Linked DNA regions of Rattus norvegicus. The protein of the gene in region 6 purifies or fractionates together with the protein of the main gene of each other region. This does not show direct contact. Links are inferred from orthologs where the notes say so. Each region holds a gene or a part of one and is shown on either strand. Other genes may lie near its edges.

Region 1 (3,974 bases), on a different chromosome or scaffold from region 6:
CAGGGCAAGGAAGGAGTGGACAGCTGAGTTCAAGGATACATCCACACCACCCCACCCCACCCAACCCACCCCACCGAGCAGGCGCCACATCACCTGTGTGCAGGGGAGCCCAGGATAACTTTATGAATGAGGACACCATGCTGAACATCAGGGAAACTTGGCTCTCGGAGCTGTAGCTCAGCAAGGATGCTGGAAGGGTACAGACCACTCTGTTAGCAACACACAGGCCCTCTCCCATCTTGACAGTTCACTTTCTGCCTTCTAGAGCTTAGGAAGTAGGATACACACATAAAAGACAGCTAACTGGGGCTGGGGATTTAGCTCAGTGGTAGAGCGCTTACCTAGGAAGCGCAAGGCCCTGGGTTCGGTCCCCAGCTCCGAAAAAAAAAAAAAGAACCAAAAAAAAAAAAAAAAAAAAAAGACAGCTAATTTCAAAAGATACACAGTGTTGAATCAACTTCACTTCTGTCACTCTGAAATTCTACGGTAAGGAAGGGGTAGAACTTAAGCTAAGCCTAGAAGGGTGGGCCCTACAACTGTATGAAATAAAGTTGAGACATAGAAGTGGAAAGTCAAAGTCACTCTGAGGAAATGATGAGCTGTCTAGAAGGATAACTAGAGGTGGGAGAGATCGTTCCTCAATGCTAGGGCAATGGAGGCTTTACATTATGGTAATAACAGGATGTACTCAGTCTACTGAAGGGTACGAGATGCATAGGTGAGAAAGTTATGATGAGAGGGAGCAGCTCTGTGACAGAGACAACAGCTAATATTAAAGACAAACATAGGAGCAAAAGCCAAGAGGTGCACCACTGAGAACATGGGTCCTATATATATGTATACCTGGGGGTCAGAGTCAGCATCATCACTCCAATGTAGCGGCGTTGGGACCCACTGATTCCAAACCAGGAATCTGTAAAGAGAACATGAGCCCACCAGCTTCATTCTTTCCCTTACTTCCTACCAGTTAGACCCCTCTACACCAAGTCCTGATGAATGCCCCTCCCTTGGGTCCCCTCCTCCATTTTAAAGGAATCCCTTTCCCTGTAAGACAGGCTCACTTTTCTTCTCCCCGCGATGCAGGAACTCCCTAAGGCGATCAGAAGGGATGGCAAAGGAGATTCCAGCTGTCACCTTCATGGTGTTCACTCCAATCACCTCCCCATCCTGCAGGGACACAGCCCCATCCCCTAGCCCACACAGATGGCAGAGGATGGGGGCACCTGAACAAGAGTAGCAAGGATTTGGGGACAGGGGTCTGTCTGACTATGAGGAGACGAACAAGAGGCTAGAGACTTAGCTAAAACTCCCTGAATCAGAGGATAACACACACTTCCCACACTGACCTGTGGGGCATGCATTCTTAGAACATGGGCACTCACCAGGTTAACCAGGGGACCACCAGAATTTCCAAACTGTGAGATAAAATGAAAGAAAACATCAAAAAGATCTGGAATTCCATGCCTCTGGGAATTTTAAGACTGTGGTCATAAACAGGGTTAGGGAAATACTTCGAATTCCATTCCTAGCATGAACTAGAGTGGCTGCATTTTGCAGACCAACCTCTGCTACAGGCCCAGTCACCACGTGTCAGCTGGTGTCAGCTGGTGATCATACCTGACAGCTGTTGCCCCCAATTCCCACCTAGCACCTAATTTCCCTCCTCTCAGGACGCACGTCAATAGCTGCATCGGTCTGAATGTATTCCACGTTGGTCTGAGGGAGCCCCAGGTCCCTGGCTGGTCGCTGAGCAGAGCTGACAATGCCGGACGTGATGGTGTTCTGCAGAGCGAAGGGACTTCCCATGGCAACAACAAACTCCCCTTGCCGGACATCAGCGGAGCGGCCGAGGGGCAGTGTGGGAAGAGGCTCCTTAAGGGAAATGAGTACACCAAAACTGGTCATTTTAAGACGGAAGGAAGTAAACTGCTGCCATCAGATCTGGCCTACTCCATTCCCACCTTGGTTTGAATCCTTAATGTGGCAATGTCTGCTACAGGATCCACAGCTGTGACCATGGCCTCATAAGTGTCTCCGCTAGGTAGCCTCACTCGCACTCGGCGCCGATCAGCCACCACGTGGGCGTTGGTTACGATGAGCCCATCTGAAGCCACTATGAATCCTGAACCGTTTGAGATGGGGACTTCACGGCCGGAGAAAGGGTGCCTGGGATGGGGAAAGCACCGATTACACTGCAGCTTCCACCCTATCCTGTTCCCTTGCCTTTCCGGCATTTGGTTTCAACACCACCTGGTCAACTTCACCATTACCGGTCTAGGATCTCGATATAGACCACAGCAGGGGCTGTCTTCTCCACCACGTCTGCGATGAAATTGTACTGGCTCCGGGGAGAGGTGGGTGGCGGAGCAGGAACAGCAGCCAGCACCGTGGAAGGACCCCGCCCCCAACCCCACAACAACAGCAGCACTGCACCCCCTGCGCCCAACGCCACCGCTAGCCATTCGCGCCGACGGCTTCCAGGGCTCCCGCAGTCCTCCTGGTCACTAGAGCCTGGAGTCCCCACAGTCAGTCGTACCCAGAGATCCGGGGTCCCAGACGTCAGATTTGCCCGTGATGCAAGGACCCCCAAAGGCACCCGGGCCGGGAGACTGGGGGTCCCATAAGTCATCCGGGCCTGAGGGTCAGGAGTTCCTGACGTCAGCAGAGCCCGGAGGTCAGGGGCTAACAGGGGGCCCTTCCTCCAGAAGATGCCCCCCAAAGCCCGCCATGCCCGAAGGCTCCAGTTTGCACCCCGCCCCGCCTTCAGCGCAGCCATCTGCTCCGCCTCGGCTCTCCACGCCCGCCCTACTCAGAGGCGGTCTTCTGGAGCCCAGCAAGCCGTCTAGGAGAAGCAAGGCATGCCGGTATCCTTACAGTGTATGCCGGGAAATGTAGTCCCTTCAAAGACGCGCTCTCTAGACCGTACACACGCCCCCACACAAACACACACACATACACTTCCCCCGTGCCGCGAGGCATGCTGGGAACGCTAGCCCTTCCGGGGCGCCTCCGGGCCACGGGTTCTAGCGTCCCTGCGGCTGCCCAAAGACTCCGCCTTCCCAGGAGCCCCCGCGGCCCTGCGAAGATGGCGGCGACAGCGGCCCCACTTTCCTGAAGCGGCTGCGATGGAACCTCCCCCAGCTCCGGGGCCGGAGCGGCTCTTTGACTCGCACCGGTAAGCGCTGCGGAGGGAAGAGACCGGTCAGCGCGTCCCGTCGGCTTCGGCGCCTGATCGCGTCGCCTCTCGCCACAGGCTCCCGAGTGACGGCTTCCTGCTGCTCGCGCTATTGCTCTACGCGCCGGTCGGCCTCTGCCTCCTGGTTCTGCGACTCTTCCTCGGGCTCCACGTCTTCCTGGTCAGCTGTGCTCTTCCTGACAGCGTCCTCCGCAGGTGCGGACTGCGGCGCCTGGGGATCATCTGGTCTGGGCCTGGCTCAAGACCGCACAGTCACCGCCGCCTCTGTCCCCAGGTTCGTGGTACGAACCATGTGTGCGGTACTGGGGCTCGTGGCCCGACAGGAGGACTCCGGACTCCGGGATCACCGCGTCAGGGTCCTTATTTCCAACCATGTAACACCTTTTGACCACAACATAGTCAACCTTCTCACCACCTGTAGCACCGTGAGTGGGGGGCGAGGCCGAGAGCGCCACCGGGTGGCTCCCTAGGCCCAAGCTCAAGGCTCACCTTTACCCATTGGGGTTTGCTTGGGGAATACCGAGCCTTCTCCCTCGAGTCCCATAAACGCCACCCTATGTGTTACCTTTTTACTCTTTCTTCTCTTCTTTCTTTATTTTTGACATTTCCTTCCATTCTTTTCTTTTTGCTTTTTCTCCCTGCTCTCAGCCTCTACTCAATAGTCCCCCCAGCTTTGTATGTTGGTCTCGGGGCTTCATGGAGATGGATAGGCGGGTGGAGTTGGTGGAGTCACTCAAGAAATTCTGTGCTTCCACGAGGCTTCCACCCACACCTTTGC
Region 2 (4,050 bases), on a different chromosome or scaffold from region 6:
TAGGTCCTTGTCAAATTCTCTGTATCAAATGCTCTTCTCCCAGGTTCTCTATTAGAACCTTTAAGAATCAATCAAGCACACCTGAGGATCGAATTGCATGTACAATGACTGCCCTGGTGCTTGTCTTCGTAGCTCCGAGTGAACTTACAAATGTGCTTGTGTAAATGACAGACATCCTTTTCAGCTTTCACCACCTGTATGTTTGAAGCAGGTAAACAGCACGGACGTTCTGTTTACTGCTGTATACTCTGCATTTCAAAGTACAGTGCTTTAGATGAATGAAAATTTTAATATACTATTTTAAAGTTATTATTTTATGGCTATTTTCCTTCATTCAAGAAATTGAGCTTTTTTTTTTTTTAGAGATTTATTTATTTATGTGAGCACACTGTGGCTGTCTTCAGACACACCAGAAGAGGGCATTGGATCCCATTACAGATGGTTGTGAGCATCGAACTCAGAACCTCTGGAAGAGCAGTCAGTGCTCTTAACTGCTAAGCCATCTCTCTAGTCCCTTAGTTCTTAGTTTAACTGTTACATTATCAACTCAGAATATAAAGTTATCTCTATTTGTTAAAATGGAACAAATTCAACCAAAATAGGGGCATGTTAAATAAACATGAAGAAGGGGAGGAGCACTGAAGACTCGCTCCCAGCTAGCATGGGAGGACATGGACCAAGATTCTCAATGGATGTGCAAAACTTCACAGTACCAACCCCATCCCAAGCTCTCCTCCATCAAAACCAATGTAATAACCCACACAGCTAGCTATGAAGAGACTAACAGGCAGGTGACACACAGTACTGGGGAAAAGGTGCAACTCATGCCCCTGGCCAGGATTTTATCATGGTGCTCAATCTGTAACACTATAAATGTAGCAAATTCCCATTAAGTATTTTTGGACTATGGCTGACCCACAGGCAACAGAAGCCAAAGAAAGCAAACCCTGAGTCAGACAGAGCCCCATGGAAACAACTTCCCACCATTTATCCAAGCAGATAACACAGAAGGAACACCAAGCAGTTTTGGGGGAAGGATAACGAAAAGTTCCAGTTCTGAAAATAAAAGAACATGGCAAGCAGTGGTGGCTATGCCTTTAATCCCAACACTTGGGAGGCAGAGGAAGGAAGATCTCCAAGTTGAGGCCAGCTTCGTCTACAGAATGAGTTCCAGGACAGCCAGAGTTACACAGAAAAACAACAACCAAATGTATGATGTTATAGCTTGGTTCTGGTAGAAATAAAGGCCTGGAGTTGAGAAAAAAGGAAGTTCAAGAACTGCGGATAAATTTTTAAGCTTGTTATAAGCAGTTTAAAAAATAACTGGGTAACTACCTAAGAAAACTGTTTTTATAGACATCCTAAGGTGTATCTAAAGTTTCTCTAAGGTTATGGACAGCTGATACAGGTCTGACCTGAAACTGTCAGAATGGATAGACGTCGATGGGCAGAAACAAAGGTCTGCAGCACTCTTCTATCTATACTCAGGTCTTGGCTTGTTTTGCCAGCTACAAAATGAAAAGCAATTCTCTCCCTTAATGATTGTGAGAAAATTCAAAACTGTGTCCGACAACGGAGACCGCAGCTACCATATTTTAAGGTTACGGTTTTACTGGCATCTTAAGGCCGGAGTGGTTATCAAAGACCTAGTCTCAAGTAGAAATGTAAAGTTTCCCATACAGTAAGTGCCCTACCAATTCCCCTGAACACGGAAACGATGGCAGTAATGCCAGTTGGACCTTTTCCTTCTGGTACTGAGCTAGTCCAGCTGTAATTATGGGTTGGGTACAGTGCAATAAACCTTTACAAGGGGTAAGGTATAGTAGAAAAAGAGATCAGAAGCACGCGGACATCTGCAACAACTTGCAGTCAAGTTCGAAAAGACGACTTTTCACCAGCACTGCGGTGCTAGGTACGAACAAATTACTGTTTTTAAAGTGAATCCATATATATCATGTAAATGGTACTCATTTGATTTTTTTTCCTGGCAAAATAAGTAATTAAAGGGAATGAAAAACGAAGCACGTTGTGTTTAAAGCCATATTCTCAAATATTAATGTGTATGCGAAGTTCTACGTGGTCTAAGCAGGAGAGTCCAATTTAGCTATGACTATTTTCAACGTTTACCTGAGAGAGTCAAGTCTCAGCGAGAAGTAAGCACATCCCCTTCATTTAAATATGTGGGCGTCTGATTACTAGGGGAATTCCAGGGCGTCCTTTCAAAGGGCGAGCTTTCCGCAGCCCCCCGTATAGAGTTTCACCTATCTGCTCTATGCCTGGGGCATACCTGGTCCAGAGCCCGCTGTGGACAGATTCGGACCGCTCCCTAGCCTAGCAGCTCCCTCGGGGATGGGATGGAGTCGGGGATCAACAGGATGGAAAGCCACCAGCGAGAAGCCGATAGCAAAGATAAACCCAAGCCGGCGTTGACAGGTTTAACCGTGGACTCCCAGGTCTCTGGTGGATCATTTGAAGCCAGCTCCGGGGAAGCAGGCGGGTCGTGCTGTGCCGGGACCTGGCGCTCTTCCGACCTGAGGTTCCCCGTCGCTCGGCTCTGGGTTTCCGCTTTCCTCCGCCCCCGCCCGCCCCGCTGCGTCCAGCCCGGCGGAGCTACTCACGTCCTTCTTCACTTCAGTTAAGTCCTCCTCCGTGAGAGACGGCGCGGGAGCCTCCATGGCCGAGGCCGGGATGGCGTCCTTTCGGCCCGCGCCACCCCGCCCTGGCTAAGGGCTCGGGCCTCCGGGAATCGGGCTGTGACTTGGGAGGACTAGGAACAGAAGCGGGGGAACCGCCGGTTCACGGAACGCGGAGGAGGAGACCTCAACGCCCCACTTCCGGCTCCGCCTCCGGGGCCTGCGGCGCCGCACTCAGAGTCCATCCTAACTTAGGCACCACCCTTCGGCGAGGCGGGTCTACCTGCAGGCCCCGCCCACTTCCGTGCCAGCCAATCATTACTAGCCCTAGGTTTCGTCCCTTCTTCCGAAGTGGCTCCGCCCACAGCAGCCTTGCCTCTAACTACGCCCGCTTGTTATTTACTAGGATTGCGGATTGGCCCCAAGAGAAGGATTCGTTTCCGTGGGCGGGGCGTTGGCCGCTCAGTGTAGCGGGATCTCCCCGCCCTCGCAGACTCCTCTTTTGGGTAGAGTGTGGGCTGAGTAGGCCAGGGCATTTTGGTTTGCTTCTCCCTCTGTTGCGGAACAATTTCCTGTTGTGCTGGGCCAGGTTTTACAATTGCTTGATCATACACAAATGTATAATATATAACATAATATAACCAGTATTGAAATGTTTGAAAGCCTGGTCCGGGGCCTACTGCCATTTGCCACCTAGAACTTGGGAGACAGAAACAAGAAGATATTGAGTGCAGAAAACAAAATAACAAAACACAATAAAAAAACGAAAAAGGTGTTTAAGATTTAATAATTAACTGCAATCCCATCAATTTAGCAGCAGAGGTAGTGTTCAGGTACTTTTAAGTCTCTATTCGTTAGGAACATTTCTCCGTATTAATCTATGCAATAAAGATACATTTAAAAAGCTTCTAGGGTCTCTAGGAGCATATTTAAGGCTCTGAAGCTACTCGGTGCACAGTTGCACTCTCGTTTACTGTTAGCCTTTATCACTGTAAGTGCTAGGTATGTCGTGATGGGGAAGTTATCTTTTTGGAGGCCAAATGGCTATTTTCAGAATGGTATTTTAACTCGTAGCTTGTGCGGCACATAGTGGATAAGGAGCTCCACATAGAGTCCTGGGCAGAAAACGATTATGTGACCAATGCGGTAAATCTACAAGCACAGATTGAAATGACAAGACGACCAAAGGTAACAGGAATCTATCTAAAATCAAAGAACCACAAGAGGCATAGAGCCACATCTCCATAGCTCTGCTCAGAGCCCTGGAATCCTGGTATTCACATTATACCAGGTGTTTTTTCACACTGATGTCTAGTTTACTAGAGTTTTTCTGTGCCCTTAGTCATCCTGCATCTTGCTATAACCCAATTTGCTTAATCATTTGCTCTTTCCTGTAGCAAGTGTCTGTTCAAGTACT
Region 3 (2,838 bases), on a different chromosome or scaffold from region 6:
GGCATGTGCCATCCACCACTGCTTGGCTATCTTTTTCTCCTGGTTTAGTTCAGTCAACTGAGGCACACGTGATAACATGTAGCTATTTTAAAGTCTTCTACAAACCCAAAGGACACAGACTAACTTCCTTTTTTAGTGTGACACATTCAGGGCTGGTGGTGTCCTCTCAGCGGTGGACCACTTGCCCTGCACGCACAAAGGCCCTGTTCAGCATCACAGCCGAAAAGAAGACGATGCATTAATATTAATTTTCCTAAAAATGGCAACAACCGAACATCTCTGTAAACCCCTCTACTTTATGAGGGGTGACAAGTGACTGTCATTTCAAACTTGATTTCAGAGTTTGGTTAATGTCCTGACTACTCCAAGTTTTTGTGGTAAAATGGATAAACAATATAATGAATTGTGTGCAATTCTAGTTCCCCAAATTCCATTTAAAACCCTCTAAAGAGAGGGATGCAGTGTCTCATCTACGCATGGAGATGAAAGACTTCCTTTCCCCCACTTCCTCAAGGAAAGGTTTCTCTGTGTAGTCCTGGCTGTCCTGGAACTCTGCAGGCCAGGCTAGCTTGAACTGACAGAGATCGGCTTGCCTCTGCCTCTTGAGTGTTGAGATTAAAGGTGTGCGCCTCTAAGCCTGGATGGAATAGAAGGCTTCCAATCCCCATTTTCTTCAGACAGAGTCAAGGATGTCAGACAGCCGCCCTATCCCTAAGTATCGTCTACGCCCTTGTGAGTCCCTTCATGACAACTTTGGGCACAATCAAATATTTTTAAAGTAACAAGCCAATTCCAGAAAATCCAAGATCCAAGAGAGACTTTCTTTTTTAAATATAGGAGAGAAAAATCTAAAGATGTAACAGACGAGTTAGGCTACGCATCCTGACTCAGTAAACGTTTTTTTCTTAAATAATGCCACCCAACCTTAGCCCGTGCCATTTCTGTTGAGTTTTGAGCATTAGTTGCCTTGAGTCATAACATCCCAATTTTAGTTCAGACAGGAAGCAAGCTCATCACGCTTCCGCTCTCTCCAACATTCTTAAATTAGACTGTAGGCAACTTCAGAGTGTCTCTGAGCTGAAGTGGCCTTTGGCATGGCCTTGGAGCCTGGCAGCTACTCACATTGGTCTGGGGAGAGCTGGTACCTGTGAAATCCTAACCTGACTGGGGAGCGAAGCTGCAAGGAAGGCATTTGAATGCCCTCTCATCTTCTGCCTTCACATCCCGGCCAATGATGCCAACAGACTTGTTGCTGGCTTCTTGATTAAACTGCTCCTGGGTACGTTCCGATCTTCCCCATCAATAGGCATTAAGCATTCAGCTTCTGGCCCTAGCACAGGATTGGCCATTTTCCTCCCCACATGGTTGGCCTTCTGTGACTCTATAGGTAGCCAACGGAGGAACAACGGTTCTCCATTCTGGGAACCCTTGTGAGTGAGTGGTGAGGGCTCTCTGTCTAAAACCAACTTTCCAGGAGGAGTGTGAAGTTCTAGATGGCTAGCACATTTCTCCCCACCCTTCTGTGTGGAGGAGAGGCCAATGAACTGTCTCTCGGCCTCTCTCTGGCTACTGGCAGGAATGGCCTGGAAGAGGGGGGAAGCAGACCATACCGTTGAAGTAGCTCGGGATGTCAGTGGGCCGTCCCCGGGCCAGCGCCATGCTGCAGCTGGAGCTTCTGGCCTCTGCTTGGCTGCTCCAAGAGTGCACGCCGGAACTCAGGGTATCACGTGAGCTCTGAGAGGCCTTAGATGGGTTCTGAACACAAGACCAGGCACAGACTCAGGAAACTGTCTCTGGCCTTGGTTTCCTTTGGGACAAAAGGATCTGAACCTCTCTTAGGGTCAGACCTGCCAGCCCCACCATAGACTGGGAAGGTACATTTCTATGAGGGACCAAAGCTACCTCCCACTCTCCATACTACCTAAAGCCTTTTCTGATTCCTGAGTGTGTCAGAGGCAGCCTGTCTCAGTTTGGGGCACAAGCAAGGAGGATGATGGTGTGTTTCTCTCTATAGAGTCTCAACAAATGTAGCTCAACTATGTAATATGAGGCAGACCAATATATGTATGTTATCAGTAAAAAAAAAAAAAACAAAAAACAAAAAACACTTTTATCACGGGCCTTCTTATATGCTTGCTTTAGCAAGGACAACCTTTCACCCGTGTCTGCTTCTACCAAACTTTCCTTCAGGAATCTGCCTTAGTCTTTCACCTGTGTCCACTTCAGGAAAACATTCCTTCACATGTTTGCCCCAGCAAAACACCACCCAACACTCAACTGACTCTCCAAAGAGCCTTCAAGTTTCCACCTCAGGGTGACCTCATCGCCCTTGCCCTGTCTAAGGCTCGCACAACCCCCTGGCCCAAGCTCACCTTTTCACTGTCCTCTGACAGTGAGAGGCTGTCGATGCTGAGGCAGGAGAGAATCTGTTCCTGTTCCTCCAGAGAAAACGGCTGGGACAGGCTGTTTAGGAACAGTTCTGTAGGGGAGCGGGGAGAGGAAGACAGTGAAGGGCTGGAGGAGGAACCAGGTTCCCAAGGTACCCACTGCATAGCCTGCAGGAGCTGGGCGGCGAGGGGTGGGGGAGGGGGACCGGGGGTGGAGCTGGGGCAGGGGGCATGGCCACAGCTGAGCACCTACCTATCTCCAGCTGTTGTAGCTCCAGCTCCGGGAAGGTTGCCCTCCGGTCTGGCAAGCTGGGGCCTTTGGCAGGGGCTGGGTCCAGGGAGGACAGAGGCAGGGGTTCCCAGGTGCCAGACTCCTCCTTGCTCAGGTTCAGGGCTGGTGCTTTGTTCGGTTCCGGTGGTTCAGGCGGCAGAGGAGGCTGACGCTCAGGGG
Region 4 (2,780 bases), on a different chromosome or scaffold from region 6:
ATGATCACAGAACCCTGGACTAGCAATTACTGTGTAAGAGATAAGCAGAGGAAAATGCTTCCTTTTCCCACTGGGTTCACGTCTCTCCCTCCTAAATGCCCCAGCAGGAGTCGCTAGAGACCTCGTATGATCTCTGGAGAGGTGTAGAGGGAGAAGCTTTCCCACATCCATCTGGCTTCCGTGTCATTGATTTTAAACCCAAGGACTGTGCTTGAGTACATACATGGCCTTATTCTTATGCACTGATTCATGTGTGTGTTCATGTGCATTCCTGTATGTGCATACATATGCAACTATATGCATGCATCTGTTGAACTCAGTGCCCCATGCTTATGTAACAAGCACTTATGGACTGAGCTGTCTCCCCAACCCTCTGATTATTTTTCAGAAGCTATCATCCTTTCCATGGATAAGAGGCCCACCCATGGCCCCGTATACATCAAAATCTTCACATCTGAGCCCATCTTCTTCCAACAACTCATTAACAGAAGGCATTGGAATTTGTTCTTAAATAATTTATTCTTTTAATATTGACTTTTGTGAAGTTACAGTTCAAGGTAATCTGAAGTCCGAAAAAGGTAGACCCCATACTTTGAAAGACAACTGTGCAAATTTCACATACTTTCTATAATAAGTATAAATAATTTCATGATTTCACATTAACAATGAAAATATCAAATAAACACAAAATAATAGGCTATTAACTCTGAAAGAACTAGATGAAGATGCATTGTATTTGACATCTTTGGGGAAGAAGGACAAAGATGTACGTCAGGGAAGGACACGCAGCAGATATGAAGAGAAAAGGCTAGGTAGAGCTCGACATCACAAGTATCGTCAGGTGCTGGGCCAGACCCCAGATGTCAGCCTTGACCCCTGCACAGCTGCATTTCCCTCCTGCGCAAGTCCAAAGCACACAGAGAAGCTGCGAGCCAATGGCAGAAACCTCCTCATCCTCATGGCTACTGGCTTTGCTATCTCAATGTTCCGATCCGGTACCCAAGGGGCACAGCATTTACATAGTAAGCAAAGGTCGTGAAAGGACACATATTTCTGTGTCCTGTCCCACTGTCACCTCACTCCATTCCTATTTTTCTTCAAAGAGGTAGGATACTTAGAAACATCTATGGAAGACAGAACGTTTTCTTCTTGTGCAGCCAGGGAGTCATAAGAAGCATCAGATTCTACAGGCTTTGTTCAGAAAGCAACCCCTTCTTTCCTAGGGAGGCAACAAGTAGAGAGAAGACAATCACCCCACCACACTCTGGGGCCAGGAACTCGCCGGGTTCCCGGGACATGGTGAAAAGCAAATATGTTATTTCAAGAGAATACTGTGGAAGGGACTCTTCATTTAAATAATTCTGAAGTTCAAAATAAATAAGGCAGAATGAAGGCTCCCTTTAAGAAGGCAGCTTGTTGAATTCACATAACAAGCTGTCAGGGGCAACCTGACAACAACCAGAAAATAGGTTATTATTATTCAGTCTACCTCTAGGGCACCATTTCAATGTCTTAAAAATCCCTCATACATAATATAAGGGTATATTACATTTGTACACACTCTGATACACACCTCAGTCCAAACTACTCTCTTCGGACTGGAGGACAACAATGACCAACGCTGGTTTGTCTTCCCACTAAGACGGTCTACTGTCTAGAAGGTGCATACAGTCAAGAGCAGCTCGTTGTGTCTCCATGTGCACATGTCTCATTTCAGCAGCAGCCTCAGGATCACAGTCTGTGTGTGGCTCTGTTTTCCTGCAGAACCTTGGGAGCCATGTTGGCAGGTAGGGAAGCCCAGTGGCCACAGATGCGCTCTGCCGATGTCCGTTTTCCCTGAGCTTCCCCTAGCATCTTGCGGAGGAGGGCCTCGGTGCTCTGGAATTTAGCTTTGGCTCTCCGAGAAAAGCTTCCAGGGGACAGCAGGATAGTCCCAGTCGCCAGCCCACCTTCCTTTCTTCCTGTTTCCTGGCAGCCAGGCTCAGGAACCGCTGCCAGTCTTCGCTTGCATTGAAGATCTCCCCAGCCTCCTGGTAGGTGGAGCAGCGACAGCTTCAGACTGAACCCGACCTCATGCACTGCCGGTAACCAGGTCTACTCTCAGCCCACCAGGACACAGTCTTGGTTACCAACCGGACGGCCATGGCCATGATGAGGGAAGAGCTTATCTGGTCTACTTTGCTCAAAGACACTTGAAGCCACTGTCCCAGGGCCCACCCTTCCCGTGGCACTCAGGGGTCTGGACGACAGCACCACTCTGGCTGGCAGTTTGAGGCCCCCTTCTTCCGGGACCAATCAATGTGTCCGCACTTAGCCGTACATCTGCTTGAACTGGTAGCACTCATTGCAGTAACCATTACACTTGGCATTGCCAAAGTGATCGCAAGCAGGGGCCCGGCAGCGCTGCTTAGGGGGCTCTTCAGGAGTGGGCTCACCCCGGTGGGCCAAAGAAGCTATTCGCTGGCTTAGGTGCTGGCACTCCATACAGAGTTCCTCACTGCGACAAGCCAGGATGTTCTTGCAAGAGGCCCGGGCACACTTCGGCCTTGAGGCTCCCTGTGTGGTTCGAGGCATTTCTCTACGCTGGCTTGATCTCTGAGTGGGAAGAGAGAGAGAGAGAGAGAGAGAGAGAGAGAGAGAGAGAGAGAGAGAGAGAGAGAGAGAGGTGTTACATTTCTCAGGAGACCAGAGGGACTTCAAATTAACAGGGTGGATTCTACCGAGTGTTCGATCTGCCTGAGTGGGAGAAGTGTATGTGTAACTGAGGACCGCCAATCCCA
Region 5 (4,039 bases), on a different chromosome or scaffold from region 6:
CTAAACTATGTAAAAAGGGGGGCATTAAATTTGCTCTGATCAACAACAGTAGAAAATACTGGGAAAATGTTTTAATGAACTATCTGTTGGGGCTGGGATGCCGAGGTCGATGCTCTGGGTTTATTCCTTAAACGTTTCAGGGAACAGACCACATGCATGAAACTTGTTAGAATTTGAAGTGTTTTGGCCTTTTCCTTGTTTTACTTTCTGAAAGGAAACTTTGGTAGACAAATTCCTTACTGATAGGTGCCATGAGATGAAAATCTGGATGAAATTTGCCTTCTGTCTATGAATGCAAAAATTCTCAGCAAACCACAAACGTTTGCTTTTCGGTATACACTTCCTTAATGTAAACTGCATTTATGCTAACCAATTTGGACACACATTTTGCAGACCCTCTTTGGATGTAATGTTCGAAAGCTGTTTGCAGGGAGCGTACGAACAGCTGCTTTTTTGTAACTCTGGGTGCTCGCCCTAGATAGGGCTCCTTGGCTTCCACCACACTGTTTTCATTCTTTCCTGGTAGTTTGAGCTGTAAACTGGATATGAAGCCAAAATGATAGGAGAGAGGCGTCTAAGCATGTGGATGGAAGAGAAATAGGAAATGTGTAGGCTCGGTTTGATCAACCAGTTTATTATTTTAATCTGAGAAACAATGGAGTACAGTTTCTAACTATAAAATCAGCTCTGTCAGGGAAACACAAGGGCAACCTGTTTTCTTCGAAGTCTTTTAAAACGGCAGATTGCTGCCTCGTTTGAAATGCCAAACTCACACAGTTGTCTCTAAAGTTATCAAAGACATTGGATTTTTTTAAACATGAAACTTTGATATTGCCTATTAAATGTACCCCTAATAAATCAGGATATTGGTAATTATTTGGGCTTCTTTTTTTAATCATGAAAGCTTTTACCTCAAACCAATAGCCAATCTCATTCTTCATATTAACCACTAGGGAAATTCCTCTGAGATCAGAAATGTAACAGTCGACTGCTTTTTCCTGTGTTATGAAGCCCTGATCCAGAAATTCTAGCTGCTATGCTGAAGGATGGGAAGGAGGAAGCAAGTCCACATATTTTTCTTTTTAATCTGAAAAGGTCATGTGAATTATATAATTTAGAAAAAATTAGAGATCAATAAAATGACTACATAAAATTATGAGATCAAGATGTTAGCAGTAGTTAAAACACACCAGAAAGAAGATCCTTACACAGATAATTCCCCTAGTGCACACATCAGAAAGGGACAAAGCAAACTAGCCTGGAACACGTTCTACAATTTATATGTATAATGTATAATGCAAAGGACTCCATATGTTTACCGGAGTCCCATCCTCAATGCATAGAAAGACAGGATGTTCACAGACAGGAAGGTTTTAAATGGCACGGACACATTTCTAAAATTCCAACCAGAATTTTTTCCCCAGGGGAATTTAACAGTTGTTTTGAGTCATCTTGGTAACCATAAATCACAAACGTTTAAGAGAAATAACTGGACATTTCTCTAGAACCCCAGTTGGCTTCTGGGCATACGTTTTGAGTGTGTTGAGCTGATACAGAGTTCCACATTCCCAGAGGCAGACTAGTATTTCTTGCTATGTACACTCACGGAACTGTAACCCTAGCGATGGCAGAGGACGAGTGAGAAGGGAGACGGTTTCCAGTGATGACGTGATTATTCTGTAACTCAGATGAATTTGTTTTCTCTCTTCCCCATCCTACTCCAGCTTGGGTAAAACATCTCAAACACAGTTTCAGTATCGTAAGAAGACAGGTGGGTTAGTGATAAAAAGCCAGGTAAAATGAAATGGTATGACTTTTTATTTAAGTAAGTCTTGTCTGACTATACCACTGAAAACATGTGATCCTTTTCTTTTAGCAGACACTCTTATTGAGTGTCTAGAAACTATTTAATACAACAACACTGAAAAGAGTTCTTGATATTTAGTTTGAAATTGTCCTTGAGAAAATAATGTGATGTGATCTTCAATTTTAATTGTGGTGATGGAAATAAAAGGGTCTGTTGGAAACAGCATAAGCTTTGATTACTGTAATTAGAATAGCTTGTAAAGCTAATACTTGATGTCATACATGTTCATTATTACATAGTTCTTATGAGAGTAAAAGTACTAATGCTAGTTTGGCATTTAGAAAGACACATTCGATCAGGCTGGAATTGATTTTTCTTAAATATAAGCAAAAAGTAGGACTATATATACTTTTAATTTACTTTCGACATAGTAAGCTTTATGTAACCTAACTTGGGCCAAATATCTCTCAGTCTCACAATACATACATACATACATACATACATACATACATACACACACACACATCATACACACACACACATGTATATCACTTCTTGAGAAGACTCACATATCAGATAAAGACTTTTAAAACTCATTTCAATTAAAGACATAACCCATTCTATCTTAAAAATTAGGCAAAGAGTAAAAGAGTCACAGTGCTTTAAAGACTGTTTGGATCCCTCTAATTCTGACGACGATGCCAAAAGGCATCGCTGACTCGTGCCTGGGACCGCCTAGTTGGCTGGTGCCGGAGTGGAGTAGATCTTACCACACTTAAGGCACCCCAACCTCCTTACTAAGCTAAGAATCGAAAGAAATTAGTAAGAGTTGATTACCTCTTCTCCAGGTGACAAGTTTTCCTTCACTGACTGTGTCTCTTTAAAGACAGGCACGGACACATTCTGGAAACCGTTTGCACAGGCTCTACCAGATGCTGCCCAAACTGTCCTGAGCTCTCCCTTGTGTGGAAGGAACTGGGGACTTCCACTGAGAAATCCCCTGACTTGAAGACTTCCTTATTTGTAGCTATCAACAGCCAATCATGGCAAAATATTGAAATGAAGCAAAAACTACCAGAAAATGTTCTGAAACCACCCGTGACTCTAACTCTGACTTCCTTTTGAAGCAATGATATTTCACCTGAATAGTTAAGACATTTAAAAAAAATCTAGAAATTACAAACATGAAAGTTTAATTTGGAAGAAGTGTTTTTCATGTAAAACGTTTCAAAAGTAAGCTTATTTGAAAAAAATTGCCATTTTAGCCTTTAAGGAGTCACATTTGACCCCAAATCAAATTTATAAATAACAGGCAAAACCTAAATTTAAGTATATTTTTCTTTGCTTTCTGACTTACAAAGGTCGGTTGGATGAAGCCTAGAGAGAAAAAATAATAATAATAAGGTGTATCTTAAGATTCCAGAATGAGACTGTAAGTACTAGGAAGAAAAATAAAGCAAAAAAGGATTCTTTAGACAGGATTTCTAGTTTGACACGCAGGTCACTGTTGACACAGTTGAGCACGTGTTCCCACACCCTGGGGGAGTGTTTCTCTCGGACCGCATGGAACTAAACTGTGGGCTTTACATGTAAATGGAAGACAGCAATATCTGGACATTTTTCTTTGTTATAAAAATGGAAATGTCCTTAGACACGATCTGTTCCATTTCCCCTTATTGCAGATGATTAAACAGAGGAGGGAGAGTGCGCAATGTCACAAAGTTAGAAGCAATGGGCACTTGGAGTGGTCTGTCTCCAGGTGCAATTCATACGTACTGTACTGTGCTCCTTCACAGCAAGTTCAGGAGTCGGAACAAGATTGAGTCCTGGGGGTAGTCTCCCTGCTGAGTTCCCGCGTAAGTGTGCGGAGGCATCTCCCAAAACTCCAGTTAATGGAAACTAAAATTTCCAATTTCCGATTCATAGTCTAGTCCCTTTACTACTTTAAAGCACTATTGTCTCTTAAAATTGCATCTTAAACACATCAGAGATAATGCTGCATATGGTGGAATTATTCCTTCCCCAAAAATATTTTTTTTTAAGTTTCTAAAGTGCTGAATAAGCATGTGCTTAAAAACTCTTCTATGTGCTCGTAAAATACGCAGCGAAGCGTTTGTTTTCTTCCAGCTCTATGTGCTTGTCACACTCTCACCGAGGAATATCAAATACTAAACATGCTTTCGTGCAACGGGAAACTAAAATCTTACAAAGTAAATACAACGAAGTGAAACA
Region 6 (3,500 bases):
TTTAACCTACTACTTTTACATAGTTTTTTTTGTTTGTTTGTTTTTTTTTTTTTGCTATATATTACAAAGAATACTGTCGGGGCTGGGGATTTAGCTCAGTGGTAGAGCGCTTGCCTAGGAAGCACAAGGCCCTGGGTTTGGTCCCCAGCTCCGAAAAAAAGAACCAAAAAAAAAAAAAAAAAAAAAAAAAAATACTGTCCAGGCAATAAAATACATCACTTTTTAAAAAAATAGATAAAATGTAAAGATTACAGGTTTAAACTAGATTTATTCTGCTTTATCAATGGAGAGACAACTCAAACCCTATAGGTATCTAAATAATTTTTTCCAATAAACTCACCAAATAAGTGTTCATATAGCGTAGAGTCGACTTCCTTCAGAGAGTTTTTGAAGACGCTGGCTGCAGCATTTCCCTTGACTAAGATGGTGTCGATGAGCTCTCTTGCTTGTAAGGGTATCTGTGTTTTCTGTCTGATAATATCATGTTCCTCCTTTGTAAGTACACTGGCCTCAAGAAGATCATCCAGGATAGGAATGACACACGTCAACTGTTGGAAGAGGGCCATTCTATTCTTCCGAATCAATGACAAGTCACCTTCATTTAAAAACAAGCAAGAAAAAGTTCCATTAAATTTCAAACACCCCCAACTTACACCCAACCAACCCTATGTACAAATTAGGCACTAAGCTGAGCTTGAAGGACTTCTCAGAAATGACTTGATTGCACATCAATGCAATCAAGTGTCATGTTAATCTTACAGATTAAACTCCGATATATCACACAATTAAAAAAAAAATCCTTCAAATTGTTGTGAGCAAGCAGAAAATTTTAGAGAGTAGTAAACCATGTGTCCTCTCTTTTTTCTCTTTCCCCAGAATCCTAAACTAGTTGAGCTTTCTGGTTTGTTATTTATTGAGACAGGACCTCATGTACCTATGTTCCCCCAATCCTGACTCTACCTCCATTCCAAGAGCTAGGATTACAGACATGAACCCCTATGCCCGATTTACATAGTGCTGATAATGGAACTCAGGGTTTGTGAATGTCAGGCAAGGACTCTATCAATAAGCTACATCTTCAGCCTAGAGGCTGAGACTCCATGCCTTCTATACAACTACAATGCTCAAGAGCTTAAGCTACAAGACATGATGGACTATGCTTGGCTCCCAGGCAAGTCTAGCCACTTAATAGCCATGTGTCCTCCTGCTATATACACCTGATCTGAAATAGGAATAATATCATCTTCCTCAAAGAATTAAATAAAATGCACATAAACCACACTGCACAATACCTCACATGTAACACATAGCCAGCTTTATTTTATAAATCTAAATTTATAGTATAGTTTTTAAAAATGAATCTAGCTTATTCATAAGATTACTTTACTTCAGAGATGAGAAACCTTCAATTTAATTGAATGTACTACCTACTTACTAACCAAAAGGCCAGGATTGAAACATAAATCTATCTCAATCCAGAAGTTAGAATTTTAAACTTTTTGTGATATGGTCACATAATAAGGCTGTAGCCAACTAGACCTCTCTTTTTTAAAAAAAAAAAAAAAAAAAAATTTTTTTCTTTCCTTAGTGTGTGTTGGGGGAGGCAGTCCTGCCACAGCACCTAACTTATAGGAATCAGTGTGTGTGTGTGTGTGTGTGTGTGTGTGTGAGAGAGAGAGAGAGAGAGAGAGAGAGAGAGAGAGAGAGAGAGAGGAAGCGTGTAGCAAGCACCTTTCCCCATTAAGCCATCTTGCAGGCTCCCGATGGCCCTCTAATCCTGTCTTTGCAACCACTATTCCCAGCTAGTCTACATACTCCTTGAAAATAATCAATACTTCACATTTATTTACTTCTACTATTTACATATTTAAATATATGCATATTTGTTGAAGATATAATTACCCAGAGGAAGATTTATTCAAGGAGATTAAGACTTAATAAAATCTACACAAATATCCAAGTCATTTGTCTATTATCCTTGGGTTGGGCAAAGGACCACAGCCTAGGATGTCATCTTAAAATCAAATTTTTGGTGTAAGGATCACCTACCAAGGATTATTAGGTAAAATGTCATATTAGAAACCAAATTTGAAGGAACTTTATTTAAAAAGTAGATTCTTGCTTTGGAATGTAGGCTGACCGTAAACTCAGTACCCGTCTTACTCTCCTGAATGCCACGATTGTAAGAATTAGGTATGTTCCATTACAACCAGCTTTGAACCAGTTTTTAGATCTTGCTTAAAAAACAAAAACAAAAAATTATGTGTATGTGCCTGAGTGTATGTTTGTGTACCAGGTACATGCAAAGGTCTTAAGAGGGGGTCAGATCCCCAGGAACTAGAGTTGTAGGCAGTTGTGAGACACTGGACTTTACTTAGACAATAGAAACCAAACTCAAGTCCTTTACAAGGGCTCTTTACCACTGAGCAATCCCTCAAGTCCCTTAAGTCATGCTTTTTTCAGTTTTAGTTATGTATACAGAAGAAATGCAATACAGCTCAAAAGAAGTTTATTGTAAATCTGTGTAATGTTACATATACATGTAACCTCAGCACTTTGGAGGTGGGGGCAGGAACCTCAGGGATGTTCAAGGACAGCACTAGCTATAGACCGAATATGAAGCTAGCCTGAGCTTGGCAAAGAGACAGTTTAGGTATGTCCAGAGGAGGAGAGTATCAGCAGCCATTTATGGGTGAGAGGTGAGGATGCTGCACGTAACAGGTAACTGAAAACCTGCAGCCACCAATGCTACCTGATGCCGTCTCTTCACTCTGTCTCTCCTTCTCCTCTTCTCTTCTCTCATCTTCAGCATTCAGAAGTGCTGAGACAATATCACTGACCGTCCTGTAGTTCTCACCAGTGGCCAGGATCTGTCGCTGAACCGTCTGTCTCACCAGGCTCCTACTGAAGCCCATATCCAAGGCTGCTTTAACCACAGGTGTGTTCATCATCACTGCATCTTCCCAATTCTCTCCAGGGCCCAGATGCACAACTGTTTGTAAACAAATTTGCTACTATTAAACTCCACAAATTTAAAACTATGGAAAATATAATGCCTGTGGCACCATTTTTATTCATGTCCTAATAAATGAGACATACCATGCGCAACAATTAAATTAATTTCAATACGATTTGAACTTTGAACAATTAGTGTACTATGCATCTTAAAAAAAAAAAAAATCACTTCATACAGTACCTACATCCTGCCGTAAACTTAAAACAAAAAAATCTCTTGGCAATTTGCTTAGGAATCTGTTGCTAAAAAAATTTGAAGTGTTGTTGGAATGGCTCAGTGGTAAAGACACTTGCTCCAAGCCTACGTTCAACTCACAGAATCCATAAGGGGGTAAGAAGAGAACTAATTCCCAAAGTTGTCCTCTTTTTTAAAAAATAGTTTATTTGCTTCTGTGGCACTAGTGTTTTACCTGCATGTGTAAGGTGTTGGGTCCCTGGAACTGGAGCTACAGACAGTTGTGAGATGCCTGCATGCAGGTGTTGGG

The links.
Region 1: the proteins of Birc2 (region 6) and Htra2 purify together in Homo sapiens (affinity purification with mass spectrometry; 4 studies listed by BioGRID and IntAct, counting the BioPlex papers as one, with this or other methods). This does not show direct contact. The link is inferred for Rattus norvegicus from reciprocal best matches to the Homo sapiens genes BIRC2 and HTRA2.
Region 2: the proteins of Birc2 (region 6) and Bcl10 purify together in Homo sapiens (affinity purification with western blotting; 3 studies listed by BioGRID and IntAct, with this or other methods). This does not show direct contact. The link is inferred for Rattus norvegicus from reciprocal best matches to the Homo sapiens genes BIRC2 and BCL10.
Region 3: the proteins of Birc2 (region 6) and Map3k14 purify together in Homo sapiens (affinity purification with western blotting; 3 studies listed by BioGRID and IntAct, with this or other methods). This does not show direct contact. The link is inferred for Rattus norvegicus from reciprocal best matches to the Homo sapiens genes BIRC2 and MAP3K14.
Region 4: the proteins of Birc2 (region 6) and Tnfaip3 purify together in Homo sapiens (affinity purification with mass spectrometry; 5 studies listed by BioGRID and IntAct, with this or other methods). This does not show direct contact. The link is inferred for Rattus norvegicus from reciprocal best matches to the Homo sapiens genes BIRC2 and TNFAIP3.
Region 5: the proteins of Birc2 (region 6) and Tank purify together in Homo sapiens (affinity purification with mass spectrometry; 4 studies listed by BioGRID and IntAct, with this or other methods). This does not show direct contact. The link is inferred for Rattus norvegicus from reciprocal best matches to the Homo sapiens genes BIRC2 and TANK.

What each region holds. Positions count from the first base shown.
Region 1 is NC_086022.1:117,114,994-117,118,967, forward strand, and holds the start of Htra2 (serine protease HTRA2, mitochondrial), read right to left. Parts: upstream 2,801-3,974; 5' UTR 2,777-2,800; coding exon 2,271-2,776; intron 2,167-2,270; coding exon 1,962-2,166; intron 1,873-1,961; coding exon 1,678-1,872; intron 1,416-1,677; coding exon 1,383-1,415; intron 1,224-1,382; exon of another isoform or gene 1,168-1,223; coding exon 1,062-1,167; intron 914-1,061; coding exon 844-913; intron 190-843; coding exon 94-189; exon of another isoform or gene 88-93; intron 1-87. Other genes in the region: lipid droplet-regulating VLDL assembly factor AUP1, read left to right, coding at 3,126-3,175, 3,254-3,391, 3,471-3,621, 3,845-3,974.
Region 2 is NC_086020.1:237,499,931-237,503,980, reverse strand, and holds the start of Bcl10 (B-cell lymphoma/leukemia 10), read right to left. Parts: upstream 2,801-4,050; 5' UTR 2,676-2,800; coding exon 2,619-2,675; intron 1-2,618. UniProt on the Homo sapiens protein: Plays a key role in both adaptive and innate immune signaling by bridging CARD domain-containing proteins to immune activation.
Region 3 is NC_086028.1:88,667,755-88,670,592, forward strand, and holds part of Map3k14 (mitogen-activated protein kinase kinase kinase 14), read right to left. Parts: coding exon 2,641-2,838; intron 2,540-2,640; exon of another isoform or gene 2,480-2,539; coding exon 2,373-2,479; intron 1,756-2,372; coding exon 1,611-1,755; intron 1-1,610.
Region 4 is NC_086019.1:15,528,421-15,531,200, forward strand, and holds the end of Tnfaip3 (TNF alpha induced protein 3), read right to left. Parts: intron 2,596-2,780; coding exon 2,311-2,595; 3' UTR 501-2,310; downstream 1-500. UniProt on the Homo sapiens protein: Ubiquitin-editing enzyme that contains both ubiquitin ligase and deubiquitinase activities.
Region 5 is NC_086021.1:66,521,598-66,525,636, reverse strand, and holds the start of Tank (TRAF family member-associated NF-kappa-B activator), read right to left. Parts: upstream 2,801-4,039; 5' UTR 2,645-2,800; intron 1-2,644.
Region 6 is NC_086026.1:13,254,541-13,258,040, forward strand, and holds part of Birc2 (baculoviral IAP repeat-containing protein 2), read right to left. Parts: intron 2,993-3,500; coding exon 2,753-2,992; intron 596-2,752; coding exon 341-595; intron 1-340. UniProt on the Homo sapiens protein: Multi-functional protein which regulates not only caspases and apoptosis, but also modulates inflammatory signaling and immunity, mitogenic kinase signaling, and cell proliferation, as well as cell invasion and metastasis.